Macaca fascicularis: one gene and its partner. The protein of the gene in region 1 purifies or fractionates together with the protein of each later gene. This does not show direct contact. Links are inferred from orthologs where the notes say so. Each region holds a gene or a part of one and is shown on either strand. Other genes may lie near its edges. The genes, in order: GLS and SIRT5.

Evidence for each region.
Region 2: the proteins of GLS (region 1) and SIRT5 purify together in Homo sapiens (affinity purification with western blotting; 3 studies listed by BioGRID and IntAct, with this or other methods). This does not show direct contact. The link is inferred for Macaca fascicularis from reciprocal best matches to the Homo sapiens genes GLS and SIRT5.

The regions. Positions count from the first base shown.
Region 1 is NC_088386.1:86,653,027-86,669,358, forward strand, and holds the end of GLS (glutaminase kidney isoform, mitochondrial), read left to right. Parts: intron 1-5,904; coding exon 5,905-6,061; 3' UTR 6,062-8,615; downstream 8,616-16,332. Other genes in the region: STAT1 (signal transducer and activator of transcription 1-alpha/beta), read right to left, coding at 13,664-13,678. UniProt on the Homo sapiens protein: Catalyzes the first reaction in the primary pathway for the renal catabolism of glutamine. Plays a role in maintaining acid-base homeostasis. Regulates the levels of the neurotransmitter glutamate, the main excitatory neurotransmitter in the brain.
Region 2 is NC_088378.1:159,345,720-159,362,051, reverse strand, and holds part of SIRT5 (NAD-dependent protein deacylase sirtuin-5, mitochondrial), read left to right. Parts: intron 1-3,736; coding exon 3,737-3,962; intron 3,963-5,827; exon of another isoform or gene 5,828-6,567; coding exon 6,568-6,681; intron 6,682-7,359; coding exon 7,360-7,447; intron 7,448-8,808; coding exon 8,809-8,862; intron 8,863-10,901; coding exon 10,902-11,025; exon of another isoform or gene 11,026-11,064; intron 11,065-12,676; coding exon 12,677-12,792; intron 12,793-12,923; coding exon of another isoform or gene 12,924-12,963; exon of another isoform or gene 12,964-13,478; intron 13,479-16,332. UniProt on the Homo sapiens protein: NAD-dependent lysine demalonylase, desuccinylase and deglutarylase that specifically removes malonyl, succinyl and glutaryl groups on target proteins.

The DNA of each region.
Region 1 (16,332 bases):
GCAAAATCTCAGCTCACTGCAACCTCCATCTTCCAGGCTCAAGCAATTCTCCTGCCTCAGCCTCCTGAGTAGCTGGGATTACAGGTGGGTGTCCACCATGGCCAGCTAATTTTTCTATTTTTAGTAGAGACGGGGTTTCACCATGTTGGCCAGGCTGATCTCGAACTCCTGACCTCAGGTAATCTGCCCACCTTGGCCTCCCAAAGTGCTGGGATTACAGGCGTGAGCCACTGCACCCGGCCCCTTTATTTCTTTCTCTTGTCTGATTGTCCTAGCCAGAACTTCCAATACTGTGTTGAATAGGAGTGGTCACAGAGGGCATCCTTGTCTTGTGCCGGTTTTCAAAGGGAATGCTTCCAGTCTGTCGCCCATTCAGTATGATACTGGCTGTGGGTTTGTCATAAATAGCTCTTACTATTTTCAGATACGTTCCATCAATACCTAGTTTATTGAGAGTTTTTAGCATGAAGGCATGTTGAATTTTGTCGAAGGCGTTTTCTGCATCTATTGAGATAATCATGGTTTTTCTCACTGGTTCTGTTTATGTGATGGATTACGTTTATTGATTTGCATATGTTGAACCAGCCTTGCATCCCAGGGAGGAAGCCAACTTGATCGTGGTAGATAAGCTTTTCGATGTGCTGCTGGATTCAGTTTACCAGTATTTTATTGAGGATTTTTGCATCAATGTTCATCAGGGATATTGGCCTGAAATTTTTTTTTGTTGTGTCTCTGCCAGGTTTTGGTATCAAGATGATGCTGGCCTCATAAAAGGAGTTAGGGAGGATTCCTTCTTTTTCTATTTTTTGGAATAGATTCAGAAGGAATGGTACTAGCTTTTCTTTGTACCTCTGGTAGAATTCGGCTCTGAATCCGTCTGGTCCTGGACTTTTTTCGGTTGGTAGACTATTAATTACTGCCTCCATTTCAGAAATTGTTATTGGTCTATTCAGGGATTTGACTTCTTCCTGGTTTAGACTTGGGAGGGTGTATGTGTCCAGGAGTTTATCCATTTCTTCTAGATTTTCTAGTTTATTTGCGTAGAGGTGTTTATAGTATTCTCTGGTGGTAGTTTGTATTTCTGTGGGATCAGTGGTGATATCCTCTTTATCATTTTTTATTGTGTCTATTTGATTCTTCTGTCTTCTTTATTAGTCTTGCTAGCAGTCTATCTAATTTGTTGATCTTTTCAAAAAACCAGCTCCTAGATTCATTGATTTTTTTAAAGGGTTTTTCGTGTCTCTATCTCCTTCAGTTCTGCTCTTAGTTATTTCTTGTCTTCTGCTAGCTTTTGAATTTGTTTGCTTTTGTTTCTCTAGCTTTTAATTGTGATGTTAGGGTGTCAATTTTAGATCTTTCCTGCTTACTCTTGTAGGCATTTAGTGCTATAAATTTCCCTCTAAAACACTGCTTTAGCTGTGTCCCAGAGATTCTGGTACGTTGTGTCTTTGTCTCATTGGTTTCAAAGAACTTACTTATTTCTGCCTTCATTTCGTTATTTACCCAGTAGTCATTTAGGAGCAGGTTATTCAGTTTTAATGTAGTTGTGCGGTTTTGAGTGAGTTTCTTAATCCTGAGTTCTAATTTGCTTGCCCTGTGGTCTGAAAGGCTGTTTGTTATGATTTTTGTTCTTTTGCATTTGCTGAGGAGCGTTTTACTTCCAATTATGTAGTCAATTTTAGAATAAGTACGATGTGGTGCTGAGAAGAATGTATATTTTATTGATTTGGGGTGGAGAGTTCTGTAGATGTCTATTAGCTCCGCTTGGTCCAGAGCTGAGTTCAAGTCCTGAATATCCTTGTTAATTTTCTGTCTTGTTGATCTAATATTGACAGTGGGGTGTTAAAGTCTCCCACTATTATTGTGTGGGAGTCTGAGTCTCTTTGTAGGTCTCTAAGAACTTGCTTTATGAACCTGGTTGTTCCTGTATTGGATACATATATATTTAGGATAGTTAGCTCTTCTTGTTGCATTGATCCCTTTACCATTATGTAATGGCCTTGTCTCTTTTGATCTTTGTTGGTTTAAAGTCTGTTTTATCAGAGACTAGGATTGCAACCCTGCTTTTTTTTTGCTTCCCATTTGCTTGGTAAATATTCCTTCATCCCTTTATTTTGAACCTATGTGTGTCTTTGCACGTGAGATGGGTCTCCTGAATATGGCAGACTAATGGATCTTGACTCTATCCAATTTGCCATTCTGTGTCTTTTAATTGGGACATTTAGCCCATTTATATTTAAGGCTAATATCGTTATGTGTGAATTCGATCCTGTCATTATGATGCTAGCTGGTTATTTTGCCCTTTAGTTGATGCAGTTTTTTCATAGTGTTGATGGTCTTTACCATTTTGTATGTTTTTGCAGTTGTTGGTACCCCTCATGGGGTTTTTAACAACACGGGGTAGATAAGATAAACCTTTAGAGAAGCATAAATTTTTTTTTTTTTTTTGGAGACGGAGTCTTGCTCTGTCGCCCAGGCTGGAGTGCAGTGGCCAGATCTCAGCTCACTGCAAGCTCCGCCTCCCGGGTTCACGCCATTCTCCTGCCTCAGCCTCCCAAGTAGCTGGGACTACAGACGCCCGCCACCTCACCCGGCTAGTTTTTTGTATTTTTTAGTAGAGATGGGGTTTCACCGTGTTAGCCAGGATGGTCTCGATCTCCTGACCTCGTGATCCGCCCGTCTCGGCCTCCCAAAGTGCTGGGATTACAGGCTTGTGCCACCGCGCCCGGCCGAGAAGCATAAATTTTAAGATGATAATTAACACTGAATGTTCTCTCTTAAGATTTGCAAAGAAGCCAGTGATTGGTGAGGACAGTGATTCGACATTTATGCAGCCGGATTTTGTTTTTAATAATAATGTGAATTTTATCAGCATACAAACTTGCTCACAATATTGAGACATAAAAAATGGGAAGGCTTCTAAACAAGCTAAAATGTGTAAGAAAACTTGTTAACTCTAAAATGAATATATTGGAGTTTGTTGAAATTTCTGCATTTGGTTGGAATCAGTTTTAGGAAGGCTTCATGGAAGTTAAATTTTAATCAGTGCTTTGGGGAAGAGACGAGATTGAAGGCACAGAATGAAAAGAAGGGCATTCTATCTGTCATGGGAAAAATATGCCTAGAATACCTTCTGTTCCTCCTCTTTCCCTCCTGGTCGACATAGCAAACTGCTATTCATCTTGCAGCAAATGCTGTCAACAAAGTGGTCAGGGAAGGGATAGAACGCAGCTTACACATACACATGTACAGTAAACTCTAGATTCATATCCTTGGAAATTATGTACTGGAGTGGATGAGTCAGCGAGTAATGAGAATAAAAGTTTAGAATGGGATAAAAAACATACTTGATGGTGGTTTGATATGTATTAGGAGTTTGGATTCATTTGAGAACCGGGAGCTGTATTAAGTTTGGAGCAAGTTGATTACACTTTAGCTATTTTGCCTTTCTGTTTATTAAGCTTTAACTCTTTTTTTTTTTTTGAGACTGGGTCTTGCCTTGCCACTCAGGCTGAAGTGCAAGTGGCATGATAATAGTTTGCTGCAGCCTTAACTTCCTAGGCTCAAGTGATCCTCCCACCTCAGCCTCCTGAGTAGCTGCAATCACAGGCACACGCCACCATGCCTGGCTAATTTTTTTGTTTGTTTTTTGTAGAGGCAGAGTCTTACTATGTTGCCCAGGCTGGTCTCTAACTCCTGGGCTCAAGCAGCCCTCCCACCTCAGCCTCCCAAAGTGTTGGGATTACAGACGTGAGCCATTGAGCCTGGCCAACTATCTTTTTTAAAATTAGGGTTTGGGTTTTGTTGGTTCAGCTCTTAGCTTGCAAGAAATGCAGAAAACTTATGTCAGTGTCTGACAAATGTTAGCAATTTTGTAAGTGTTGCTAATACTTTGGTTATCTAACTTTATTCCTGTAGTTGTAAAAAAGCACCATGATTAAAATGACCTTTATTGGCAGTATTCTAAAACCTCATGTTAGGGTGACATTCTTCCCTTTCCCCAAATTTTAATACCCATCCCAGCTTTCTAGAGCAAGAAATTGAAGAGCATTTTCCTCCTGTGTTTATAATCCCAACTAAAACACTATGTAATACCTGTTGGAAATATTACTGTGCTCTGTATATGTATTATTTTTTTTTTGCCCTAAATTGGCCTCTAGGAATATTAAAGTAGATGTACCCATCTGATAAGAAAAAGTGAGCTAAGTAAGTAACTTGATAACTAGGCATTCAGCAAGTCTTTTTCTCTATTTCATAGAATCAGTGTCACCTTAAATTATAAAATAGGTTTGAGCAAAATTTGGGTATTCTTGAGATAGAGTCTTGCTCTGTCACCCAGGCTGGAGGGCAGTGGCGTGATCTCATTCACTGCAACCTCCGCCTCCCAGGTTCAAGCAATTCTCCTGCCTTAGCCACCTGAGTAGCTGGGATTACAGGTGTGTGCCACCACACCTAGCTAATTTTTGTATTTTTAGTAGAGAGAGGTTTTGCCATGTTGGCCATTATGGTCTTGAACTCCTGGCCTCAAGTGATGCGCCCCCCTCGGCCTCCCAAAGTGATAGGACTGCAGGCATGAGCCACTGTGCCTGGCTGAAATTAGTGTATTCTTTAACGTTTATATTTTTCATTAATTCACAGAAGAGTTGTAAAAAAGGTAACACGCAGTTGACATTCCATTTTTCCAGAAAGACAGATAATTACATACTATAGAGGATGACTCAAAAGTCTCTTTCAAGCCACTGACTTCCTAAACTAATGAAGGCCTATTCAAAGTCACTTCATTCAGCTGGTTTTTTTGTTTTGTTTTGTTTTGAGAAATACAAAGATACATGTAAAGTTTTACTTACCCGATTTTAAAAACAGGCTACCAAAATTTACCCAAATATATTACAAAATGAGACTGTTTTAAAACCCTTTTGTTTCCATATTGTGACTCCACTAAGCGGGTAAAAAGTTCAGGACAGAGATGGAAAGAAGGAAACAGGAAGAAGTGAAACTAGGAAGGTGGTGACAGTGGCACATGGATGAAGAAAGAGAGATTAGCAGCCATGGAGAATTGTGTAACGTAAGTAGAGAGAGAGAGAGGGTAGGAAGACAGGCTTCACAGTTTGTAAAGTGTAAGGGAACTGCCTCTCATACCCTGTCATTGACTAGGGCTGTGAGTTATGTAGTTCTGTCTCCTCTTGCAAAAGACTTACCACTTCTGGCAACTCTTCATTTTTTCGTATCCTCGAATTTTCATCGACATCACTCTAAACAGCACAGCCCCAGAAGCATGGCAAGGGGAGTTATTAGTATGGAAAGGGGAGTTGTTCTGCTGCTGGTGTAGTGGTCCGATTGAGTCCATGGGTTCCCAACCTTACCAGAGGTGATAAAAATGTCAATTCCTCTGGGGCCAATCTTGCTCCTCCAATGTGTTTTTGGCCCTAATGGGGTCATGGTTATTTCTAGACTTCTGAGACTTACTGTGGCTTTGAATTGACACAAACACAAATTTTCTGTCAAAGGCTAGAGTGATGGATGTTACATACCTGAATTTTCTTTGAACATTTTATTTTAAAAGAGATACTTTGGGCTTTTCATGAAGCCAAAATTCTGGAACCCTAGAGCAGTCTATTATATCTGTCAACACAAGGACTTTCCTTAAAAAGCTCCCTACATAAGCACTTGTATGTATAAACAAGATCCTTTCACAGATCTTTTTCTCTTCCTCTCCATATCCCAACTTGTTTTGGAGACTACTTTTTGAATTATAAATCCCTTTCTGCATTTCTATTATTAATTTTTATTTGTAAAATTGCTAAAATGGCCATTTAACCTGCATTTAAAATCTGGGAATGTGGGGTGATCATCTTTGTACAGAAATTACCTAATGACCCTGTCCATGCTGTGCTACGTGTTTAGGTGGAATAACACTCCCATGGATGAAGCACTGCACTTTGGACACCATGATGTATTTAAAATTCTCCAAGAATACCAAGTCCAGTACACACCTCAAGGAGATTCTGACAACGGGAAGGAAAATCAAACCGTCCATAAGAATCTTGATGGATTGTTGTAATGGTCTCAAATCCCAAGATTTAAATCACTTACCTATTTAATTGTGGAAAATGATTATGAAGACCGTGTGTATTTCTGTCTGGTAGTGATGTATATTTTACATTTGTCATTTCAGTGTTACTGGAGTTTTCTTCATTGTGCGCACAGGACAAATCTGATCTCTTTGGGAAAAAATAGAAATAAAACAGTCTCCCTCCATAATGTGAGCAATATTACCTCGTGCATTGTATAATTTGATGTAAAAGAAATAGTTACCAATGCTAGCTTAATTGTGTGGTCTTCCATGATTTATTTGTGTTTTGTGAATTTTCAATTTATGGTGATGATCTGCTGATATGCATTTATAAATTAAGCTCTGTTGTACAGTCTGTCCAAATGGGTCAAGGTTGCCTTTAGAAGCAAATAGTGTGATTTTCAAGATTTCAAATACAAATTTAGTTTGAGTGTTTGAACAACTATATGCACTTATGGTTGTGTGTTTAAAGTGTCTCTCACCCTAGCTTCACGATGTGACTCTTAAACAAACTATAATAGTTAACAACTGTTAGTAAGATAGACCAATTCTGATTAGACTTTATCAGGGAATCTGTTTAAGATATGTTTGGTGACCAAAACATATGTGTGAATGTAGTTATAATACTTTTGAAAATTTTTCCTTTTTCTATATCCCCTTAGTCCAGCCTCTCTTCTCATTTAGCTCTCTGCCTCTTTCCTTCAGCTGGGAAAGTGAGTGCTGGCATACTATGCAGTTTTTATGTTTTCCATAGTAAGTCAGAAAATGCCTCCTATTTCTGGCATCAGAACTTTGCCATTTGTCTACAGAAGACGAACCAGAGACAAAATTGCTAAGTATAAATTAGTCAAGTTTACCAGTCTAAAAAACGAAGGGATGTGCAACCGCAGCTCTTTAAGAAGATTTTTTTTAGCTTCTAGGGTAAAGATAAATTCAGAAATGCTCTAAGCTACCAAAGTTATTCTGAAAGTATGGGAACTGCTACCACTAACATTTGTTTCCAAGCCTGTCATTAAGAGTCTGCACCAAGAGATTTGTCCTCCTTGGGGGACCATTGGATCATTCCAGATTTCTTGTGATTTTCTATTGTGTAATTCTTGGTGGGCTCTGTAGTTTAATAATAAGAAAAAGGCCATTTCATTTTAAATTGTGACCTATAATTTTCTTTGTCTTGGGTTGGTAATTCAGGATTCATTTGGAAAGTGGGTAAAAGGGGCTTCAAAAAACTAATAGAACAGGATTTTCTAGGAATTACACATACATTTTATCCTGTCATACCTCGAGATAAAGAGGCATGTTAGTGAGGATTTCTGATATTAAGCACACACACACATGCACACAAATGGACTTCTCTGAAGCTGTGTTTAGTGAAATGAGCTTAAGTACATGAATGTTAGTTGTTGCCACATACAGCAATTTCCTTTTCCTTTTTTTTTCTATGAGCACACACTGCTGCTTCTAAGCTTTACCATGCCTGATGGCACCTTACTCCAGCAGCCTCCAGGTGCGTTCATTTTCACTTCCAGTCTAAGCCAGTGGCTCCAGCCACTGCCCTCCCATTACCTAGATGGCACCTCGTTTGGTGAAACCACGGCCAATGTTCCTTAGCTGCACCAGGCCCAAAGCTGTTCCCACGCTTGAGCTTCCGTGGGGAGGATGGTGAGTGAGCAGTTTCCTATCCTATGGATCTGTCAAGCCATGGAGACAGGTAGCATTTGCAAGATGCTGCACAGGAGCAGCATTATCCCCAAAAATATTACAGGGTAGACACGTTTTAATTGAAATCAATTGAGATAACTTTGCTCAAACAGCAGCGTGCTTTGTGTGACTAAAATGAAACATTAAGACAGTTCAATTGTGTGACTTGAAGATTACCAATGATTTTGAGGCTTTTCTATAATAAAAAGAGGTTCTAACCATTATTTGGGAACAAAGAGAGTTTTCATCTTTTTTCAGATCAAAACCATTCTGTAAAATCTTTGTTGTTTAATTAAATGTGCCCTTATTTACCCCTGATGTTATTTATGACTATGTGCCGATTCCTGCTCGGGCTGTTTGCTGTTGGCTGGTAATAATATATTTGATTTAAATGCTGTTGACTGTGCTATTAACTGCTGCCGTCAGTAAACTCCAAAGATCTTTTTGTTTTGGCTTTAGTATCATATGTGCTTTTTCTGTATCATGAGAGCTCTATATGGTCATGTTACAGCTTTATATACATTGTTGTTTTTGCTGGTCTCATCTTTGGTAATAAGCTATACCCCACTGCTGCCCGACACTGCCCTTTAGCTGCAGAGCTGGATTAGCTATTGACCATTTGATGCTGTTGTCTGTCTGGCAGGGACTGAATGACCTGATGTCAGATTTAGATTCTTCCTGGGGATTATACAGCTATGAATGTATTTGCTTCTAAAACCTCCCAAAGTGAATCTAATCTTAAAACTACAAGTTGTAAGTATTCTGAAATTGGGAAACATTTATTTTAAATGCAATCAGGTAGTGTTGCTTTTTACAGCATAATAAATATATGTATCAAAAAAAACTGTGTGAAAAAATGAATTTTCTTAAAACATTTAAGAGCCAGGAACTCCACTGAGCATACAGACCATGTCTGGTTGGGTTCCAATCCATTTCTAATGCCTGCTATAAAGCTAGGTACTATGCAAGGTGTCAGATGGGGTTACCACAATGACTAGGACAAGAATCCTGTGTGTAGTTCATCTTTGAAGGTGAGGGATATGCAGGCATGTCTCTAGTCCCCTAAATGCAAACACTATCCTTTTACAGTTAGGAAGTGCTCAGTAAATACTTATTGAATGGAACCATTAAACATACCCTTGAATGAGAGGAGAGGTTATTTTCACAAAGCCTTAAAATTTATTTAGAGAGTTGAACCTAGTACTGCCACACTAGAATCTGAGTGTGACCAGCCAGTAAACCTCAGCTCCTAATTTATTCTGTGTGAGAATAGCATTCGCTTCCAATGCCAGAAATCCCTGGTCTTCAGAGCACTCCTTCCTTTCAGGCCAGGGGTTAGTGTATAGTTTTCCAATCATAGAGAAAGTACATGAATGCCATGACTGTTACATTTTCATTTATCAACGTTATCTGTCACAAAGTAAGTTACTTTGCTAGAAGAGTCACTGCATTGCCGGCATTTTAGAACTGCGATGAGCCAGGTAGTATGCAAGGTGACAAGTGGGGTTACCACAATGATTAGAAGAGACATCAGAAATTCTCTAATCTAACTCACTCTTTTATAGATGAAGCTGAGACCCAAGAGTGGGCTGTGATACAGAACTCTTAGGCCTGCGCTGTTGTTCTATGTCCCACAACACTGATTATGCCCAGGTATGGATAGAATATGCATATTAGCTTATTCATATGCACTATCTCCTATTAGCTAAGGCCTCTCCTCTGTGGAGTTTTAGGAAGAGGCATAAATGCTACAACAGAAAGTCCTGCAACACATAGTCAACTTCAGCTATACATATATACATCCATGGATAGGAGCAGGACATCAGTGCAGGCGCAACAAATGTGTGAATAATCCTAAATAGTGAATAGTTATTTTTATTCTTGATACAAGATCATTTTATTTTTGTAGGACTTTTTCAGGAGTTGGGGTAACCTTCCTAATTTTACTTGCTAATCTTCATAGTAAAATGAGTAAATTCATAAATCATACACCAGATGGCCGAGGGAAGCAGCCCATGAATGTGTTAGGTGGCACTTATAAAAAGGCTTTTTGGGAAAGGATAATCTTATAGTTATGCAAGGAAATGATGTGATTCACTAGATTATATGTGTTTGGCAATGGAAAAGATTAGAAAAGGCAGTTTTTTAAAAAGGAGGCATGAGATACAGTAAAACAACTGGACAAGAAGGTATTAAAGGCAGAGACTAGGGGCATTTATTTCTATTCTGGAGAATGAACCAGACTCCAGGCCTGTGTGTGCCCCCACTGTACCCCTTGCTTCCTTTCCAAATAGCCAGTAAAAAGGCTGCTATGAAGTGTGTCTGACAAGCAGTCCCCATGGCAAAAGAATATCAAGACTGTTTCAATTATGTACAAGAAATGTGGAAAGGCTACAAACAGACACAGGTATTAAGGTGTTATAATAGCTTTACAAAATATTATAGGAGAATTCAGAGTTTGATAATAGGTATTTGACAGCTTTCTACCTCTTAGAAAGCTTTATGTTCTCTGTAGACTCAAGATAACGTTAATAAATAAGTTTAAGACTGCTTAAGCCTGCCTCTGTTGTTTTTTTTTTCCTTTTTACAATAAATCAAGCAAGGTATTTAATTTCTTAGTGAGTATAGCAAACACAAAACCCAAAGTAAGTTCACGAAAACTTGGAAGCTGAGGATTATCATTTAAGAGAGAGAAAAGCTCATCTCAAAAAGCTCTAAAAACAATATTGTTTCTCTTCAGCTTTCCTAAAACTGGTTTAAATGTCATTTCTTTGAAATTGTATTTTTTAAATATAACATTTACATTATTTGTAGCTTCTGGCTGTTTGTATCATAAAACTTTGTTTTTTAATAAGGTGATTGCACTAGAATGTACGATCCGGTGTCTCAGAACATCTTCAGTTCCATAAAAGCAGGGATCTTTGCTTTTGTTTACCAATGTTTCCCAAACATCTAGTATAATGCCTGGCTCATGGCAGGTGCTCTGTATAAATTTGATAAATTAATTAATGAATGAATCGTAACTAACCAAAGGAAGCCACTCACATAAATGGTCCTTACTTTGTTAACGTCCCAATTCAAAAGGTAAGTAGAATAATTTTCAAAACACTTTCTAGCTTTTTCCTGTCCTTTCCCTGGGTTAGTCAGTGACAGGACTGCTCTGTTCAGAAAGACTTGCCTTCATATTCCACTTCAGCTTTCAGGAAATAAATAGATTTCACTCATTTCATGCCATCTCAGAAAACCCTCTTTCCTTTAAAATTAGACATTTGTCCTCAGTAGCACACATAAGCTCTATGCTTATAAAACACTTTTCAAACTTACAAACACCACACGAGAAATACTCAAACACACAAATATTCCTTAAGTTAGGATCTACTCAATGACTTCTTATAATGGTTAATTAGGTAAGAATACAAACTTATTAGCCAGGGCATATTTACTTTACTCCTTGGAGAGAGACCACTCTCAGTGTTCACTATAAATAACCTTTGTATTTCCTAGATGTAAATAACAACAGATACGGAGATGAGAATAATCATTCTGGTTATGATGCCAGCATTATCAGGGAATAACACTATTCCATGATAATAGCTAAATACAATTTGCCAGACTATGTCTAACTTGGTGATTACGCCTCTTCTTACCCTTTTTTTTTCCCAGTACACAGTGTATTTACTTTGAGAAGGCCTGGCTTTCTAGCTTTTGACATCTTTGGGGAAAAATGGCAGCTTTTTGTGTGGGTACAATAACTTCTCAGTAATAACTCATCTAATCATGGGGGTGTAGATTTTAGATGACTGCTTTGGAGACAAGACAAAGTCCCATTTCTCATGTATTTTAAAATTAAAAACTGCTAATTTGGGGGTATTAGCAATACCCAGATTCATTTTAAAATAAGTGCTGAATCATTTGTATATTTGGAGACAGCTGTGGTCGCAAAGAACCAAAGTACTTTTGTTTGTTTGTTTGCTTTTTATGGCACCTATTATAGCTCTTTCCAATAATATTACTCCTCTGACCTCTTCCATTGACATATCTTAATCTGCCATAGCAATTCTGAGTATGCATAGGGCAGGTAAGGACAACATTTAGGAAAAGAGTGTTATTAATCTTATTTTAAAATAAGGATTGAGGTACAGGAGAAAAGCATCAAACTAATTCATAATGTCAGTAATTTTAAGAATATTTATATTAAATACTATTAATAAGAGATTAACAGAATTTTAGAATTTTAATACTTCTTAAAAGTAAAGTCTCTTGGCTAGTGCAGTAAAATGAAACCATGCCAAATTCCCAAAGGGCAAAAAGAACTGACAGCTAAACCTCAGCAATTAGAAACAATATTGTTTCAATGTTGTCTTTGTTTTTTAGTCATTTCAATTGTAAAAGGCAACTGAAACTTAGGTTCTCACCATCTATATAAAAACTGAGAGAGGAGGTCTCAGATTGTGTGCAGTGCCACGGAAAACACTGTGTGCATATTATATTTAATGCAATACAGATACTTTAGCTTTAATTTTAAAACAAAACTCAAGAAAACTTTATCTCCGCCAAAGAAAAATACAGCATTTGCACGATAATATAGTTGTGGTAGCAACAGTGGAAAAACAAGGTACAGCCACATAGACAGCAGTATGTGAAAGGGAAGAACCTTGTCAAACCCATCTCTTAATCTACTTGTTGTGTCAGTGATTAGGAAGGAAAAAGGTAAAAAATACAGTATACTTCACAAAACATCATCCATTCAAAAAAGTGTCTGGAAAAAGCACAGGAAAGATAATGGAACCATTCACAAATGTAATTGTCAGAAAAACACATATATCAGCGAAATACATGCAGTTCTCAATGCAGTTACATAGGAAATGAGTTTTGAAATGATCTGATTCTCATATTATCTCTGGTCAATGATTCAAGTTGTCAGTTACTACTTTTTCTACTCCTTTCCCAATTTTGTGGCTAATAGACTAAACACCACCCTAATTACAAAAAAGACAAAATAGCCCATTTAAGAAACATGAATTAAATTTCTGAGTTTATCTACATCTATGATTAATTTCAACTTTTGAATGAGTGGCTGTGAATAGCCTAACTCCCTTGGTAGAACTGTAAAAATAATTGTATGTGACCAAGATGAAAGCAGAATGTATTCAGCTTTGGATATCAAACACAATTTGTGAATCTGGAAATGTACATCCTTCAATTGATACTAGCCAGTGTCATTAAGCCATAACAACAGTAAAGCTAATATTCTCTCAAGAGGCAGAATTTGTCTTTGTCTTTAAATAGCCAATGTGAAAGATGTAATAAAATACACAACATTTTCCCCCTACCAGATGCATGATGGCTACCTTTGAAAGAGGACTGATATAATTGTATATAAACTTGGCTTTAAACTATTTCACAGATAAACCAATGGAAAACTGCCAGTCACACTTAAAGCAAAGAGAACACGTAAGAATTCTCCCACAGAAATTTACCGTTCCTGTGTCAAGCAGTTCCCTAAATAACCATTGCTTTATCCAACAACCTATAACAGTTGGGCACTGACTTTATGCATAGCATTTGCTAGATGTTGCTCAACTTCTCTTCCCAAAGGACCCTCATTCTCGTCCTGATACTTTGGGTGTATCTGGATGTTTTTCACTTGTGAAACCCACTCTTCAGAGTATGCCTTTCAATTTTACCTTCAGTAAGATGCATGATGCCCTTCAGAGTAACTGATGTTTCTGAGTTAGAGAAAAATTCACTTGCTATCAACAGGTTGCAGCGAATTTGCGAGCCTTTCTTTCATTTCCCTAGAAACACAGGATGTGAAGGAACAGAGTAGCAGGAGGGAATCACAGATGAGAAGGAAAACTGTCGCCAGAGAAGATGAAAAAAATTCATGTTCTATACTGCGTTCATCTGTAAAAAGACAAAATGTGGTTAAGTTTATTACACTGATCTTGTGAAATGCAGATTCATACATTAAACATTGCTCGTCTATTCTAGAATGAAGTAGTAGGAAGATACTTGCAATGGCAAGTAAATACCATGGAATGAGAGGGCCTTCAGCATGTACTATCTATTATTCTGGGCTAATCAAGACCTTTTATATCACCTAAGCTGATGGATTATTACTCTGTTGCCCACTGGCTTAATTTTGTGAATCCGTCCAGACTGCATAAAGCTTTTTGCTGTTATGCAAGTCTGGGGACAGAGCAACATGTCAGATCTGCTCATGTGAAACAAGGGTGTGGAAACGCTGAGCCATATGCCAGAGGTAGTGAGGAAGGAGAGGGAAATGATACATTTCCTCTAAAGGTCACTCAGTGGGTAAAATCAGTGACTGTGTTTCAGGTACAGGCTAAAGAAGCAGAATTACTAAGAACTCCTTCACCCTCCCCCCACCAGTGCCTTCTGCCCAGCTGCCTTGACCAGGACAACTTATAGTAAGTAAATTGTTCATCCAAAGGATACTAGCCTGCCAGTGACTTCCTGTCTGACTTCCACAATGGTGTTTCCCCTTAGACCAGATGCTTTCAATTGAGGATGATTCTGTCCCCTGGCAATGTCTGAAGACATTTCTGATTGTCCCATCTGGCTGAGAGGGTACATGTGCTTACTGGTATCTATTTGGTAGAAGCCAGAGGTGCTGCTGAACCTCCTATGAAGCACAGGAAAGCCCTCCTGCCAATCCCCCACAAATAATTCTGTAGCCCCAAATGCCAGTAGCACCAAGACTGAGACACATGGCACTAGACTGGAAAGCCTCTGGAGAACTTTTTTTAATCCCAAGTGCTCAATAGTGTATGGTACATAGTGGGCTCTTAGGAAAATTATTTTGGATTGAAAAGCACAGTGAAAGTGTTGCCCCTATGTTTCAGTCTGGCTCATGTTTCAAATGGGTGCTTAATAAGGTGGACTACAGGGGCAAAGAGAGGGAGGGAGGGGGAGATAGATAGAGGAAGAGAGGAAGCCTGGATTCAGATCCTGTCACTGCGTGACCAGGGCGAATGACTTAACCTCTCTAAATCTCAAAGTCTTCATCTGTCAAAAGGGGATTAATAGTACCTAGCAGATAGGCTTGTTAAATTAGATGGTATATGTAAAATGTTCAGTATGGTAGACAGAAAGTAGTAGACGATTAATAGCTAGTCCTATCATTATGAGCTTTGGCTAAAGGCCTCTTGGAGAGTAGACTGGTTCTATTATAGTCCCAGAGGAAAACACTGATTACATAGGAAATCCAGACTAAACAAATACCCAAGTCATACTGCAGAAAACACTGGTGCTCTGGCTGTCTTGGACAATTTCCTCAGGAGCCTATGGTCCTACTGCTCCTGAGGCTGCACCAGGCGTTCGCCCCTGGTGCCACCCTCTTTCAGAGCTGCAACCTCCAGACTTGGCAGAAGACAGCCAGCTTCGGGAGAGCTGCTTCTGTTTCAGAGTATACACCCTGATTATAAGAGTAGATGCTGGATGGAAGTCATGACCAAGGGGCAGGCCAGCAAACCATTGCGGAGTCAACCCAATTTAGAGACTGATTCAACTTCTGTCTAACCAGTGCCGTGCCTAAATTATGAACTCTTTTTTTTTTTTTTTTTTTAATTATAGCCCTTTTAGCTCTTTTAAGTCTTCTATGGGTTTAATGGGAGACTTTAGTGGTGTGTAGAGGGTGTGTGTGTGTGTGTGTGTGAAATGGATTTATTTTATTCTACAAATGAAATAAATGAAATCATCTGAAATGGAATGGAATGGGTACGGCGGGCCATAGCCCACAAAGAGGACCACAAAACTGTTTCCTGACATGTGCTTAGCATATTTAAATTGCTCTCACAGTATCATCCTGAGAAAACAGAGAGCAGTCCAACTGCTCCACAGGACTGCAGAGAGGGAACCAATCCATCTATTTTCTCAATAATGGTGATGACAGAGATGCAATGCTGATTGCCAAATCCCAAACACACACAGGCCTCTCACCCAAAGGCCATGATGCCTTTGTCTTCATAACAGAATAAACCCAATCCTGTACAAACAGTTTCTTCAGGTACATGTTTTGAATGGGGCAAAGATTAGCCTTTTGTGGGACGCTTCCCAGGATACTGGACAAAAGCATGCACTAGAGACTCACCAGGTAGATTCAAATATTCTTTCTACCATTTACTAACTGCTTGATCTTAGTCAAGTTACATAAAAGGGGCTGTGTGGGGAGGAGAGGTTCTGTTCCCACATCTGTCAAAGTAGGAAAAATAATAATACCTAACTCAGAAGGTAGCTGTGAGGACTGAATGAGTTACTACCTGTGAAGTACATGGTATACTGTAAGTGCTTAATGTCATCTATTAATGGTGGTGGTGATGATGATGTAATTTGCTCAGGAACAACAAAGGAGGTGTAAAAAATCCCCCCGTTTTACAGTTCCTGTGATATAACATATTTTCTGAATAGGGCTTTATATTTATTCCACTTTTGTGCCAAGCCTATAAAGCCCTTTATACCTTTATAGCAGTGTTGGGAGCTACATTCTAGCAGGATCCTTCTTACACACAGAAAAGGTTCATTTCACACTTGCCAAT
Region 2 (16,332 bases), on another chromosome or scaffold:
TTTCATGTTAAAACTAATGTTGATTATTGAAGGGTTAGGATTTGATATTCAAAAATTTATAGGAAAGCCTTCAGAATGTAAGTTCTGTGAAGGTGCGGATTTTTTAAATTCAATTTTTATTGAGATCTAATTTACATAAAGTAAAAGTCACCAGTTTTAAGTGTACAATTTAATGAGTTTTAACAAATGGACATAGTTGTATAGCCAGCACCATAATCACAATGTAGAACATTTCTGTCCCTCTAGAATATTCCTTCATGGCCCTTTGCAGTCTGTGCTCTCCCGTCCCACTGGCTCAGGAAATCCCTAGCTTTGGAAGACAAGGAATTGTTTGTTTGTTTGTTTGTTTGTTTGTTTGAGACGGAGTTTTGCTCTTGCTGCCCGGCTGGAGTACAATGGCGTGATATCAGCTCACTGCAACCACCACCTCCCAGGTTCAAGCGATTCTCCTGCCTCAGCCTCCCGAGTAGCTGGGATTACAGGCATGCACCGCCATACCCAGCTAATTTTTGTATTTTTTAATAGAGACGGGGTTTTACCATGTTGGTCAGGCTGGTCTCAAACTCCTGACCTCAGGTGATCCACCCATCTTGGCCTCCCAAAATGCTGGGATTACAGGCATGAGCCACCATGCCCGGCCTCTGTTTGTTTTATTCATTGCACTGTCTCCAGCTCCCAGAACTCTGGCACATTATCAGTGCTTAATGGATTTTCATTGGCTGAACAAAAGCAGTCATAAATAAGTACTGCAATACATGTCTTCCATGGTTAGTAGCTCATTTCTCATTGAACGCAGAGTTCATGAACCTGCCCCCTCCTTCTTCTCCTGAACATCTGAGCCTGGCAGATGTTTGGGTGCTCTGCCTCCTGCCTGCTGCCCTCTGGGTGAAGGGTGGGGGTCATCACCTTAAAGGTGAAGTGGAGGAAAAAGGAGAGCAGAGAACATTAGGGGCCAGGAAGAAAGAGGGGCCACAGGGCATTCCCTGGATTAGCAGCAGCAGAGGGTGGGAGGTCAGAAGGTGTGGGAGGAGCTTGGAGGAGGGGCGCTTAGTTGTGTCCAAAAAGGCTCAGAGTTTGTGGACAAAGCAAAGAAGTCGATAGAATGCATTTGACTCCAGTACCCTCCCAGGGACACCTGTGGACATGTTGCTGTGCCGCCTATAAACTGTTCCAGGCCGTGTGTTCTAGGTGGAGAGCAGGATCGGTGTGGGCCAACCCCTCATTTGGCAAAGACTGAGATTGCCACCAAGCAGAGGGGCCTTTACAGTAGAATGAAACGCACATGTGTTCAATGTAGGAAGCGTCTCCTTGATAGAGAAGCCATACTTCTTTTTAAAATTAATGTTATTGAGGCAGAATTTCCTTAGAATAAAATGCACCCACGTGCATTGTGTGTACAGGTTGATGAGTTTTGACAGGTGCATGCACCTGCATAACACCCCCACCTCCACTGTCAAGAAACAGAAATTTCAGTGATCGCTGAAAGTTCCCTGTGCCTTTCCCTGCCAGCTTCCGGCCCCAGACAACCCCTACTCGGCTCCTTTACCAGAAAGGAGGTTTGTTTCTCCCAGAATCATATTTAAAGTATATGTATTTTATCTATTCTGTTTATATATAATATACACTTTTTATATGTAGCCGTGTATGTGTTTAGCTGTGTGTGTAGTTGCATGTATGTGTGTAGCTGTGTATGTATGATGTGTGTATTTCTGTGTGTGTAGGTGTGTGTGGTTTTGTGTGTAGGTGTGTGTATGTAGATGTGTATAATTGTGTATGTTTAGTTGTGTGCATATTAACAGATACGTGTGGTTGTATATGTGTATATTTAGTTGTGTGTATGTTGTGTAATTGTATGTTGTGTGTGTGCAGTTGTGTGTATGTAGATGTGTGTAGCTGTGTATGTAGATGTGTGTGTATGTTTAGTTGTGTGTGTAGTTGTGTATGTAGTTGTGTGTATGTTTAGTTGTGTGTATAGTTGTGTATGTAGTTGTGTGTATGTTTAGTTGTGTGTATAGTTGTGTATGTAGTTGTGTGTATGTTTAGTTGTGTGTGTGTATAGTGTGTATGTAGATGTGTGTAGTTGCGTGTATATGTTTAGTTGTGTGTATGCAGTTGTGTGTATGTGTGTAGTGTGTGTATGTTTAGCTGTGTGTGTAGTGTGTGTGTGCAGTTGTGTATGTAGATGTGTGTAGTTTGTGTAGTAGTGTATGTGTGTTTAGCTGTGTGTGTACAGTTTATATGTAGATGTGTGTAGTTGTGTGTGTTTAGTTTGTGTGTGTAGTTGTGTGTGTGTATAGTTGTGTGGATGTAGATGTGTGTAGTTGTGTGTGTATCTTTAGTGTGTGTGTAGTTATATGTATGTAGTTGTGTGTATGTAGATGTATGTAGTCCTGTGTATGTCTAGTTGTATGTGTGTGCAGTTGTGTGTCAATGTGTGTAGTGTGTATGTCGAGTTGTGTGTGTGGTTGTGTGTATGTGTTTAGTTGTATATGTGTAGATGTGTATGGATGTAGATGTGTGTAGTCATGTGTATGTCTAGTTGTGTGTATGTGTGTGCAGTTGTGTGTGTGTCGACGTGTGTAGTGTGTATATATGTTGAGTTTGTGTGGTTGTGTGTATGTGTTTATTTGTATGTGTGTAGATGTACGTGGATGTAGATGTGTGTAGTCGTGTGTATGTCTAGTTGTGTGTATGTGTGTGCAGTTGTGTGTCGTGTGTAGTGTGTATGTATGTTGTGTGTGTGGTTGTGTGTATGTGTTTATTTGTATGTGTGTAGATGTGTGTGGATGTAGATGTGTGTAGTCGTGTGTATGTCTAGTTGTGTGTATGTGTGTGCAGTTGTGTGTCAATGTGTGTAGTGTGTATGTTGAGTTGTGTGTGGTTGTATGTGTTTATTTGTATGTGTGTAGATGTGTGTGGATGTAGATGTGTGTAGTCGTGTGTATGTCTAGTTATGTGTATGTGTGTGCAGTTGTGTGTGTGTCAGTGTGTAGTGTGTATGTATGTTGAGTTGTGTGTGTGGTTGTATGTGTTCAGTTGTATGTGTATAGATGTGTGTGGTTGTGTGTGTTGTATGTGTGTAGATGTGTGTGGATGTAGATGTGTATAGTCATGTGTATGTCTAGTTATATGTGTGTGTGTGCAGTTGTGTGTGTGTCGATGTGTATAGTGTGTATGTATGTTGAGTTGTGTGTATGTGTTAGTTGTATGTGTGTAGATGTGTGTGGATGTAGATGTGTGTAGTTGTATGTGTGTGTGTATAGCCATAGCTATAGTTATCAAAACTGAGTTTCTTAACCATGGTCATTAGACTTCAATGGGCATTTCGCATTTCATGTTTTCCCTGGGTGTAGGTCAAAATGAGATCCACTTCATATGTTTTAGGGCTCCATGAAAAAGGGGATTCGACCCAAAATACCTTCCTGCATATTATTTTACTTCATCTTCACAGCTTACTTGGGAGATAAATGGGACAGGTTGCATCGTCCCTGCTTTGTCACTAAGGAAATTGACTGATTTCTCCAAGACCCCTGGGCAGTCCCAGGATGGGGATGTAGGCTGGTACCCAGGCCCTGCCTGGCATCTGCCATGTTGTTTGAACCTAGTGCTGCCATCTCCAGCCTGCACCCTCCTGACGCTGCCTATCTCTGCCTTAGGGAGGAAGGGCCTGTGCCCCAGAGTTCAGCATCCTGGCTGCCCCTGCCTCCCTCACTCCCGCCTCCTCTCCCACCCCCAGGACCTGGCGACTCCCCTGGCCTTTGCCCACAACCCGTCCCGGGTGTGGGAGTTCTACCACTACCGGCGGGAGGTCATGGGGAGCAAGGAGCCCAACGCCGGGCACCGCGCCATAGCCGAGTGTGAGACCCGGCTGGGTAAGCAGGGCCGGCGAGTCGTGGTCATCACCCAGAACATCGATGAGTTGCACCGCAAGGCTGGCACCAAGAACCTTCTGGAGATCCATGGTGAGAGACCCCCAGCCTCACGTTCAGGGAACCAACTTTAAAACACCTGTCCTGCCATTTCAGCATCACCCCTGGTGCCTTCCCTCCCTCCCTGGTGGACACCTGTCCCGTTCCCATAGGATGCTGTGGCATTTCCTTTGGAGACATGTCAGTGCCCCGTGGCACCTGGGCAGCTCCCTTTAGCCATGGGAGGAGCCTCTGACCCATAGCATTATTTACTTAGCAGTTCCTGCATCCTCGCTGCTCAGTATGGTCTGAGAGCCAGCGACATTCGGCGTCCCCCAAGAACTTGTTAGAAATGCGGAATCTCAGGCCCCATAGGACCCACCGAATCAGAATCTGCATTTTCCCATGAGCCCAGGTGGCTGGTGTGCTACTGGAGGAACGCTGGGGTGCACAGCTGCATGACCCCTTCCTTTGTGGAGGGGCACGGTGCTGTGAGACAACGGCCTCAATGAGCCGAGGAACAGGAGGCCTGGCTCATTGGACAGCCAGGGCTTGAGCAGGATTGGGCAGGGGCAGACTGCAGCATCTTGGGGTCTCCTGTCACTCTCCCTTCATCCTGGTGGTCACTCCCCACTGAGGCTGCGCTTCCGCCCCACCCTGGAGCCTCAGAGAGCTGCCAGCTCAGTGCTGGACACCACCAAACCCACCAAGCCTGTGATGTCGGTGGAGTTTGTCTGGGGTCCCTCTGGGCTCCTTCCTCTGTCCTGGGTGACCCCTCACTCCTTCACTCTTGTCTTCTGGTTCCTCCCTTCTTTACTGTCACCACAAGTCTAATACATCCAGCTGTCCACAGTCATAATGGGCAAACTAGGGTTTCTCCCAAGGCCATTTGCATTTAAAGAGTCTGCATTCAGATTCAAGGAATGCATTTCGTATTTTTTAAGCATTTATTTCTCTTAATTTTATTCAATTAATTAATTTACTTTTTTTAGCAATGGGGGTTTCACTCTTGCCCAGGCTGGGGTACAGTAGCTCGATCATAGCTCATTGCAGGCTTGAACTCCTGGCCTTAAGGGATCCTCCCACCTCAGCCTCCAGAGTAGCTGGGACTACAAGCACATGCCACCATGCCCAGATAATTTTTTAAATTTTTGTAGAGACAGTGTCTCACCATGTTGTCCAGGCTGGTCTCGAACTCTTGGCCTCAAGCAATCCTCCTTCCTCAGCCTCCCAAAGTTTTGGGATTACAGGCGTGAGCCATTGCGCCAGCCAAGAATGCATTTCTAAGTGTAGCATTTCCAGAGGCAGTGCACCAGTGGGGATGTTTGTTTTTGCGTGTGGGTGGTAAAGCTGCCTGCTTTTACTTAGGTCACCCTGATAAGGAAAGCGAGGCATTACTCATTTCGACTCTGCCTCTCTTTTGTTTGCCAGGAACAGCCAGCCACCTATTAACTGAGCATCTTTTTGGTACCTACATCTACTGGGTCTGAGCCACTTTCCACGTGCCTCTGCTTATTTCCCTGCAATGTCAGAATGTGGCCTATGTCATCAGCATAAAACTGAGATGACAATGCCTAGTTACAGAATTGTTGTAAGGATTAAATAAGATCATATATGTGTGTTAGGACTTTTTTTAGTTTCAAATGATGAGAACTCTCTTCTAACTTAGGTTAAAAAAAATCAATGGCATCTTCAGTCTGATGAAGGGTGTTTTAAGATGCATCGTGTTTTTAATGTGGCATTTAGAATATAATCTGCCTAAACCATGATATACTATTTTATTATCCCTTAGAATTGTTATTTTATACTTAGAGAGCTTGTTAAAATGAGTATAATAAACTGGTCCAAATATTTCTCATTATCTAGCTCTTCTGAATTCTGAGTGTCTCAGAGCATGGATGTCTGTGTTTTCCATGCAGTTTCATGCTCTGTGCCTCAGGACATGGATGATGCGGCCTTTCCAGAGAGAATGCCCCTCTGTTAGAGCTGCGATTCTCGTGCAAGCTCCTGGCACACCTTCCGCAGGTTCGCTATTGGGCCTGACATACTCTTACCAAGAGGCCATCAGTGGAAAGGCTGTAGACAACAGCCAAAACCCGCTTTCCTTCCTGAAGCGGCCCTTGAATGGTTTGTTGGTGGAAGGATCCAGGGGCTGAATCTGCCTGGTCAGGCCACGGAGAATAACAACCAAGTCACCCCACTTTTCAGTGTTCTCCTTCAGCAAGTCTGTGCAAGCATGATGGTGATGTCACACTCACATCTGGCTAGTAGCAATTGCAGGACACATCTGAATTTCAGAGATGTGAAAATGGGGAAAAACGTCTATACTAAAACTGACAAAACCGAGGAGCCTGGGGGTGCAGCTTGTGTCATCTTTCCTCCTGGCCCCTGGCCCCCTCCTTCTCTCAGCTTTACTCACTCTTTGAGGTGGCCTCCCTTCTCCCTCTGCAATTGATCTGCCTCCACGTGCCAGGGGAGAGTGCCTCCGACAGCTCCAGGCTCTCCAGCTCAGCCACCTGCTCAGAAAATAAACCTCTGGGTGGGCTTGCTTGGTCCACATGCCCACCCTTCTGACCAAACATGACTGCAGAGGGATGGGCCCCACATGGGGGCTGTGTGGAGCATGTGGCCGAACTTGTATTTGGGATGTGACCCACAGCTCTATTGGCTCAGCACGCGAGAGAGCAGGGATGGTGGTCCCGAAGGAAGGACTCGGGGGCAGAACGGAGCAGCGCGTGTCCACCGTGGTTGAAAGTGCTCTGCATGGTACCAGGTGCCCAGTACCCATTTCATAAACTCTGGCCCCCTTCAGCTCAATAAGTAGTCATTAGTATTAACAATTACTTTTTTCACTTAGTAGTTGATTACTTATTTATTGAGGTGCTTTTGTATAAAAGATTGAAGCTTTCTGAAATCAAAGTTAAGATTTTGTAAACATATCCCATGCCGTTGAACCTTTATCAGTCATATCAATAAATCATGCCCTTAGATTTACGTTGAGCTCCCTCTACCCTATTGGCCACTTCTGCCCACTTGAACACCACTCCAAGGTCATCTGACGGCACGTTAGTCATGGAGTTAGTTATTTTTCCTCCAGATTATAAAGTCCTTGAGGGCATATGTTCTTGACTGGCTTAAGAGTACTACATGCCTCTGTTTCCCATGAAAGCTAGGGTAGGCCCATTTGCTAAAATGAAGTATGGCTCAGTGTGGCGGTGCACACCTATAGTCCCAGCTGCTCAGGAGGCAAAGGTAGGAGGATCGCTCGAGCCCAGGAGTTGGAAGCTGCAGTGAGCTATGATCGTACTACTATACTCCAGCCTGGGTAACTGGGTGAGACCAGAAAATGAAATGAAGTGTGGAAAGTGAAGTATCTTACACCCTTTCAGATGTGGAGATGATTGCTCTTGATTAGACTAAATTCTGGATTTCCTTCATATGTATTTTTCAGGTAGCTTATTTAAAACTCGATGTACCTCTTGTGGCGTTGTGGCTGAGAATTACAAGAGTCCAATTTGTCCAGCTTTATCAGGAAAAGGGTAATTATACCACACTACAGAATAAGTATATGTTGTTTTCTCCTTTAGGTCGGACATAAATGTGAGGAAATTGAACATTCATCAAAGATTCCCATTGATATGAGAAATAAGACTAAATACAAGGCTGGGTGCGGTGGCTCATGCCTGTAATCCCAGCACTTTGGGGTTACAAGGTGGGAAGATTGCTTGAGTTCAGGAGTTCAAGATCAGCCTGGGCAACATAGTGAGAAACCTGTCTCTACAAAAAAAAAAAAAAAAATTAGCTGGGTATGGTGGCACATGCCTGTAGTCCCAGCTACTAGAGAGGCTGAAGTGGGAGGGTTATTTGAACCTGGGAAGTCGAGGCTGCAGTGAGCTGAGATCATGCCACCGCACCACAGCCTGGGTGACAGGGAGACCCTGTCTCAAAAAAAAAAAAAAACAAATATAGCCTTGTGATAAAAGAAATATTTTGCTCACAACTTACAGTGTTAAGTGAAAACCACAGGGTCCTGAATTTATACACACATGAGTTTGTATAACTGCATATAGTTAAAAGACCAGAAGAAAATATAACAAAATATTAACAAGGAATATCAGGAGTGGAGGGATTATGGGTAATTTTTAATTTCTTCTTTATATCTTTCTGAATTTTCCTACATTTCTATGATGAACAAGTACTGTTATTACAATGAGGGAAACATTTGAGGGTAGACACAATATTGAGGAAAATTCCATTTCAAAACAGTATTAATTATATAAGGAATGTATAATGTCATTGCAGAGGATACAAATGATGATGATGTATAAAGGTAAACATGAAGTTCCCTCTTAGCACACCCAGCTACTCCAGCCCTCCCTACACACGAATTCTCTCACTGGCAGTACAACCACTGGTGATTTTTTTTTTTTTTTTTTTTTTTTTCTGAGACAGAGTCTTGCTCTGTTTCCCAGGCTGGAGTACAGTGGCACAATCACACCTTACTGCAGCCTCCAACTCCTGGGCTCAAGCAATCCTCCTGCCTTAGCCTCCCAAGTAGCTAGGACTATAGGCACACACCACACTGAGCTAATTTTTGTATTTCTAGTAGAAATGCAGTCTCACTATATTGCCCAGGCTGGTCTTGATCTTCTGGCCTCAAGCAGTCCACCCACTCTGGCCTCACCAAATGCTGGGATTATAGGCATGAGCCACTATGCCCAGTACCACTGGTAATTAATGGCCTGGGGTCCTTCCTTCTAATGCCCTTCCAAGTGAGCATGTATTAATTAGGAGTTTTACACCACATACTACCAGGCAAATATACAAACTGAGTTATGTTGTTTCTTTATTTTTTATTATGCCAATAACAATCTTTCTTTTCTAATATTATTTGCTTCAGTGCTCCAGAACCTGGAACTCAAGATGCCAGCATCCCAGTTGAGAAACTTCCCCGGTGGGTAAAAAGCTCTGATTTGTACCAGTGTTCCTGGTTACAAAAAAAATAGACATCAAAATCTAAACATGTATTTGGCAAGATGCCTCTTAAATCAAATGCACAAATGTGAAAACTAGCCTTGACCTCTAAGACCAAAAGTGAAAGGACAAAGGATGAACCAAAGTAGGATGAAAAAAATGATTTCTTTCCAACCCCTTTTTGCTTTGTGTTCTGGCGGGATCATTTCAGGTCGGGAAAGTTTCTGAAGCTGTTGTGTGACAGGTGGTTACCCAGTGTACAGAAAGCATATGGGCTGACCTATAACTGGTCAAATAACATCACTGGCATTATTAATCCATGGTTAAGGAGGCAATGAATAAGGAGGCAATGAAAGGACGTGAATAGGAGAGGTTACAGGACCCAACAGAATGTTCATAGATTTAAAAAAAAAAAAAAAAAAAGGAAGATTTTGATGCCAATTTTTCAAAACCAGACATTAAAACAGCACTTCTATAATCTGTAATTGGATCAGAGGTTTTTTTGTTGCGGGTTTTTTTGTTTTTTTGGTTTTTTTTTGAGATGGAATCTCACTCTGATGTCCAGGCTGGAGTGCAGTGGCGCGATCTTGGCTCACTGTAACCTCCGCCTTCTGGATTCAAATGATTCTCTTGCCTCAGCCTCCCGAGTAGCTGGGATTACAGGCGCCCGCCAGCATGCCCGGCTATTTTTTGTGTTTTTAGTAGAGACGAGGTTTTGCCATGTTGGCCAGGCTGGTCTTGAGCTCTTGACCTCAGGTGATCCACCCACCTCGGCCTCCCAACATGCTGGGATTACAGGCATGAGCCACCGCACCTGGCTGGATTAGAGTGTTTTTAAGGTAAAATAAAACAGCACTTCTAAAAGTGTTTCATAGAACATTAATTTAATATTACGTTGAGAGGCATTACTTGATAAAAACATGTTAGGCACTCAAATTACAGAAATGTTAGACTAAACAAAGTTAAAATATGTTTGCTCTACTGCAGGACTTTTCAGAGCATTTATTCCACATTGCTGCCTTCTAAAAAGTGGTTATAAAATGTATGTTAATGCTTTACTGACTTATTTAACCACAGAACCTTTTAAATTTTCCTTATGAGGGTTTTAATTGCTAAATATTAAAGTTTTCTTCTGAAGGAATAGGGAGACCTGGAGGACTTCTATGATGCAGGAGATTACGATGATGAAAATGGTGTTTGAGGGATGATTTTAGGAGGTGTATAGAAGGTGACCCTGAGGTAGGAGGGAGTGAAAGAAAGAGATTTTTAGTAATGGATACAGGAAAGCTGACTACATACGGGGCCAGAGAGACGTGAACCTGAGAGCACATGAAAGGTCATCGATGAAATTAGGGGATGCTTGGGGTGGGAGGCAAACCTGAGTCCAGTATGACTCCCAGGTCTGGGTGGCTGTGAGCACAAGTGTGAGCATAATGAAGGAACCGGGAAAGCTTAGCTGAAACAATCTGTCAGCACATCAAGTACACAGAGACAAGATAAAAAACAAGGACAGTTCGGCAGGGCGCGGTGGCTCACGCCTGTCATCCCAGCACTTTGGGAGGCTGAGGCAGGCATATCATGAGGTCAGGAGTTCGAGACCAGCCTGGCCAATATAGTGAAACCCCATCTCTACTAAAAATACAAAAATTAGCCGGGTGTGGTCGCATACGCCTGTAGTCCCAGCTACTCGGTAGGCTGAGGCAGGAGAATGGCGTGAACCCGGGAGGCGGAGCTTGCAGTGAGCCGAGACCACGCCACTGCACTCCAGCCTGGGCTGCTAACAGAGCGAGACTCCGTCTCAAAAAAAATAAATTAAAAAAAAAAAAAAAAAAAAGGACCGTTACACCTGATGCTTCACATGCAAGGCAACTTTATATAGGCTGGGAGGAGAGTGTAGGGAATAAGAGGCATCAGAGGTGAACCATCTGGACGTACTGGGTTTGGGGTAGCCCCTGGCCGCCCTCCGATCCAGCTGGGCAGACTTTGCTCGGGGTTGGCTCAAGGATCCCATTCTTCCAGGTGTGAAGAGGCAGGCTGCGGAGGCTTGCTGCGCCCTCACGTCGTGTGGTTTGGAGAAAACCTGGATCCTGCCATTCTGGAGGAGGTTGACAAAGAGCTCGGCCGCTGTGATTTATGTCTAGTGGTGGGTCACGGCTTTCCCTGACCCCAAGACAGGACTGGAGTTAGTTATTTTTTGCTTCCCCCTCTTCCCTTTTCCGTCCTCGCTCCCTTGCTTCTTTCCTTCCCGCCTTCTCTCCCCCCTCCCCTTCTTCCTTTCCTTAAAATGTATGTTGAGAGGTCTTTGTGGCATCCTATAGAAAAACTGAGAAACAATGAATAAGAATTTATATTAAAATAGGAAACCATGCATGTCTTGGACATCTCAAAGCCTTCTCCCCCAGCCCCACCAAAAAAAAAAAACATACTATTGGTTTTTAAAATAATACGTGCTTATGATTAAATTTAATTGAGAACATGCAAAAATTATCACATTATAAAGAGGAAATTAGAAATCGCCCATAGTTCTGCTAATCAGAAATAGTTACCATTAGCAGTTTAGTATATTTTCTTCTAGACCAGGAGTGAGCAAACAGCAGCCTTTGGGCCAAATTGGGCGTGCTACCTGTTTTTGTAAATAAAGTTTTATTGGAACTCAGCCGCACTCATTCTTCCACACACTATGACTACTTTCAAACTACAGTGGCAGAGTTGAGTACTTGTGACAGAGACTGAATGGCTGCAAAGCCTGAAAAATTTACTCTATGGTCCTTTTCAGAATAAGTTTGCCCACCTCTGGTCTAAACCTTTTCTTATGCAGATGTACACATATTAATTAAAATTCAAAACTGACTTCATGACATATGTTCTGTTTTGAAACTACTTTATTCACGCAGCAGTTCACTTAGCATATTCCATGTCAGTACATCTAAATCAATATCATCTTTCAGTTGACTGTATGGTGTTTTATATGGATAGGGAATGATATATTTAGCTAATTCTCTACTGTAAGACATTTGGGCTATTTCAAATTTTGATATTTTAATCAATGATATCGTACATATCCTTAGATAGAAATCTTACCATGCTCTTCAAATGATTTCCTTAAGACACATTTCCTAAAAGTGGGATTAATTGGACAGATTGTATGCATATTTCAAATTTTTCTGGACACATCTTTAAAAGCAGAGGCACTTTCTTGTGGTGCATATTCATTCAGCCAGTATTTAAAGAATGCTTTCCAATGTCGAGTATAGTATCACTGTTGATGATGGATTGTTAAATGAGAAAAGCTGGTTTACAAACCAGTCATGCTCTTCCCATCCCTGCAAAGAATGTTTATAAGCAAATATTTATGAGAGAAAACCTAAGAGGACATACATGAAAATGTTAACAGTGGTTATCTTGGGGTAAGATTATTGATGATATCTATTTTTTTTCTTCGTATTTTCTACCTTTAACAAAAAGAAAATATGTTTTAAAAAGTTATGGATCATTTGCTTAACTTTAAAGCAGAAACAAAACCAGAACTACCCCCAAAACATGTTGAGTCACTTCTAAGTCACTCTTTTGTTAACTCTCCTTTTCATGTCACATATTCTTGTCGATTCTAGTGATTGATCAAAGGACAGCTCTTCACTTTCCCTCATCCCTTGGACACCCTGTTTTATCCCATCCTGTTTGGCTTTTCTCACACCTGCAACCACAGACCTATCTGAGTTTGTGTAAGGTTTTCTGAAAAAATGTTCCTTCTTGTCGTGTGGCCGTTTGTCCATCTCCATGTGCTTGCCTTGTAGGTGGGCACTTCCTCTGTGGTGTACCCAGCCGCCATGTTTGCCCCCCAGGTGGCTGCCAGGGGCGTGCCAGTGGCAGAATTTAATACGGAGACCACCCCAGCTACGAACAGATTCAGGTACTGGGATACCCTGATGGGAGAGGGCGATGTGGGAGGCAGGTGCAGACATGGTCATCTAAACATAGTTGACCTACTCCTCTAATTTTTAAAAAAGACACAGGGTTTGTGTTTTTTTGTTTGATCTGCAGTTGCTTTTATGGAAGAACAAAATCATTCACTGTAGACTAAGGTAGGGTAGCTCTGTCATTGTACACGACATTTGCCATGGGACTTTTGTTTGTTCACATTTTGAAAGCTCTTCTTTGATTCCTTAGGCTTTGCTTTCCCTTACATTTTTAAGCTAGACTCAGTGATGGCCTTTAGTTGTAGGTTACCCAGATGCTCCGCAAGTAAGCCTGGGAGACGCCCTTGCAGAACCTCATCACCTGCCGTTCTCACTGGGAGGCCACCTGGCAGATTCCCCTTTGGTCTAATCGCCAAGGTTATCTGTATCTGTGGCCATGTTATGACACTGATCCTGCTTCCCAAGTTTAGGTGGGAAGTGTAGATTGTCATAGTATGCATTTTTAGTCTTATTCCTGGGTCTGTTTTATGTCTTCACCCTTCTGTCTTTTTTCTCACTCCAACTTTTTTTTGCCTTTACTTCTTATTCTTGTCCATCTAGTTAATTCCTTTTGAATAAGTTAGACTATAAATAAGTAGTAAATGAATATAAATGAATAAAATAGAAAACTTCATTGAAACATCTTGTCATTACTTTAATCAGCAGTTTCCAACCTTGGCTGCATATTTTAAAAATACTGATGCCTGGGGGCCACTTCATGAAATTTCAGTGTCATTGCTCTGAGTTGCAGCCCAGACATCATTTGATAAGCTTCCTAGGTGATTCCAGTGTGCAGCCAGGATAGGAACCACTCTTCAAAGTCTCTGCTGGGATTTAAAAAAAAAAAAGGAAAAAAGAAAAGGGGCCACAGACACTTAAGTAGGCCCCTCCTCAGGTGAGTGAACTGGCTCTGGGCCTCTTCTTTTCCATGTGTCTTTTTGATCAGCTATAGCCTGTGTTCTTGATCCATAGTTCTTCATTTGTGTGTGAGTAGTAGGAACTAAGAAGATAGCCTAAAAAAAATTGCCTCCTATGCTAAACTTATACTTTGAAAACTACAGAACATTGTTGAAAGAAATAAAGAAGGCCTAAATGAATGGAAACATATCCAATGTTCATGGATTGGACAACTTAATATGATTAAGATGGCAATGCTCCCCAAATTGATCTAAGGGCTCAATCAACTCAGTCCTTATCAAAATCACAACTGGCTTTTTACAGCAATTAATTGAAAAGATTACTCTAAAATTCATATGAAAATGCAAGTGACCCAAAATAGCCAAAACAAAATGAAAAATGAAGTTGGAGAACTCATACTTCCCAATTTCAAAACTTACTATATATTAGCTGGGCATGGTGGCACATGCCTGTAATCCTAGCTACTTGGGAGGCTGAGGCAGGAGAATCAGTTGAACCCTGGAGGTGGAGGTTGTGGTGAGCCGAGATTGCGCCACTGCACTCCAGCCTGGGCAACAAGAGCAAAACTCCATCAAAAGAAAAAAAAAAAAACCTTACTACAAACTTGGAGTAATCAAGATAGTGCGGCACTGGCATAGGATAGATATATAGAATCAGTGGAGTAGAATTGAGAGTCCAGTAAAAAACAAAACAGAACAATAACACAAAACCTCACATTCATGGTCAGTTGATTTTTGAGAAGAGTGGCAAGACAATTTGATGAAATACAGTCTTTTTCAAGAAATAGTGCTGGATATCCACACGCAAAAGAATGAGCTTGGAGCCCTCTGTCACACCATACACAAAAAATAACCCAAGATGGATCATAGACCTAAATGTAAGAACTAAAAGTATAACATGTCAAAAGAAAATGTAGGAGTAAATCTTTGTAACCTTGGGTTAGTGAAAGCTTTCTTAGATATGACACCAAAAATGCAAGTAACATAAGAAAAAAGGGTAAATTGGACTTTATCAAAATTTAAAACTTTTATACTCCAATGGGTACCGTCGATTAAGTAAAAAGACAACCCATAGAATGGGAGAAAATATTTGTAAGTCTAATATTTGATATTTGATAAGGGATTTGTATCCAGGATATATAAAGAACTCTTACAACTATAAATAATAAAAAGACAATCCAATTAAAAACCAGGTCAAAATATTTGAAACGACATTTCTCCAAATATATACACATGGCCAATAAGCATACTGAAATGATGTTCAATATCATAAAACCACAATGAAATATCACTTCATAGTTACAAGCGTGGCTATAATTTTTAAGATAAAGGAAAATCACAAGTGTTGGTGAAGAAACTTGAACCCTTATACATGGCTGATGGGAATGTACAATGGGGCAGTCATTTTGGAAAACAATGTGGCAGTTAAATATAGAGTTACTATGTGATCTAGCAAATCTACTCCTTGGTATATAGTCCTAGAAATGAAATCATACATCTACACAAAAATTTGTACACAAATGTTCATAGCAACTTGTTCATGGAAAAAGTGGAAACAACCCAAACGTCCATCGACTGAAGGATGAATAAATAAAATTTGGTATGTTTGTACAATGCATTATATTTTAGCCATAAGAAGAATGAGGTATCCATATATGCTACTACATGGATGACCCTTGAAAACGTTATGCTAAGTGAAAGAAGCTAGTCATAGAAGACCACATATGGTATGACTTCATTTATATGAAATATCCAGAATAGGCAGATCAATAGAGAGAAGGTAGATGAGTGGTTGTTTTGGCTGGGAGTAGGGAGGAATGGGGAGTGAGTGCTAATGAGAACAAGTTTCTTCGAGGTTGTTAAAAATGCTTTAAAGTCTATTGTGGTGATGGTCATATAATTCTGTGAATACACTAAAATACACTGAATTATATATTTGAAATAGGTGGAGTGTATGTGAATCAAACCTCAATAAAGCTGTTATATAAAAAATTAAATTATCTTCTAACTTATCTCCTGAAAAATGCACATTAGGCCTCCCTCTGATTTGTGTTGTGGCACCTATGGGTAGCAGCTGGGCCACTTAGCATGACTAAGAGTAGTAATACCAGAGCTAGGTAGCTCAAGCCTCCTGTCTGTTTGAAAGACCATCAGAAAACTCAAAGAGTGGGACAGGATGAACTTTGTGAAGCAGGACATGAGCTATGTCCCCAGTTTGGTTCTTCTAATATGGTTTCTTTTCAGTCATTTGATCTCTGTCTCATCTCTAATTATTATAAAGAATTAAAACAAATCACCATTGTAGAAAAGCAAGAAAATGCAGATAGAGAAAAAGAAGAAAATAAAACTGGAGTATTTCCACAACCCAGGTTTAAAGCTGGCCGCCATCTCCCGTGCCATGGACTGACCAGCAGGGGCCCAGCATCCCTTGCATATGGTGGCTGTGTTTTCATGTGAAAGAAACTGAACTTGGTGGTTTTTCCTGCCAGTTCAGAAGAGATTCTTGTCATGTAATATATATCATTGCACAAGTCAAGCCTCCTAAAACCACAGGCCTGTTTCAGCTGCTACTTCAGC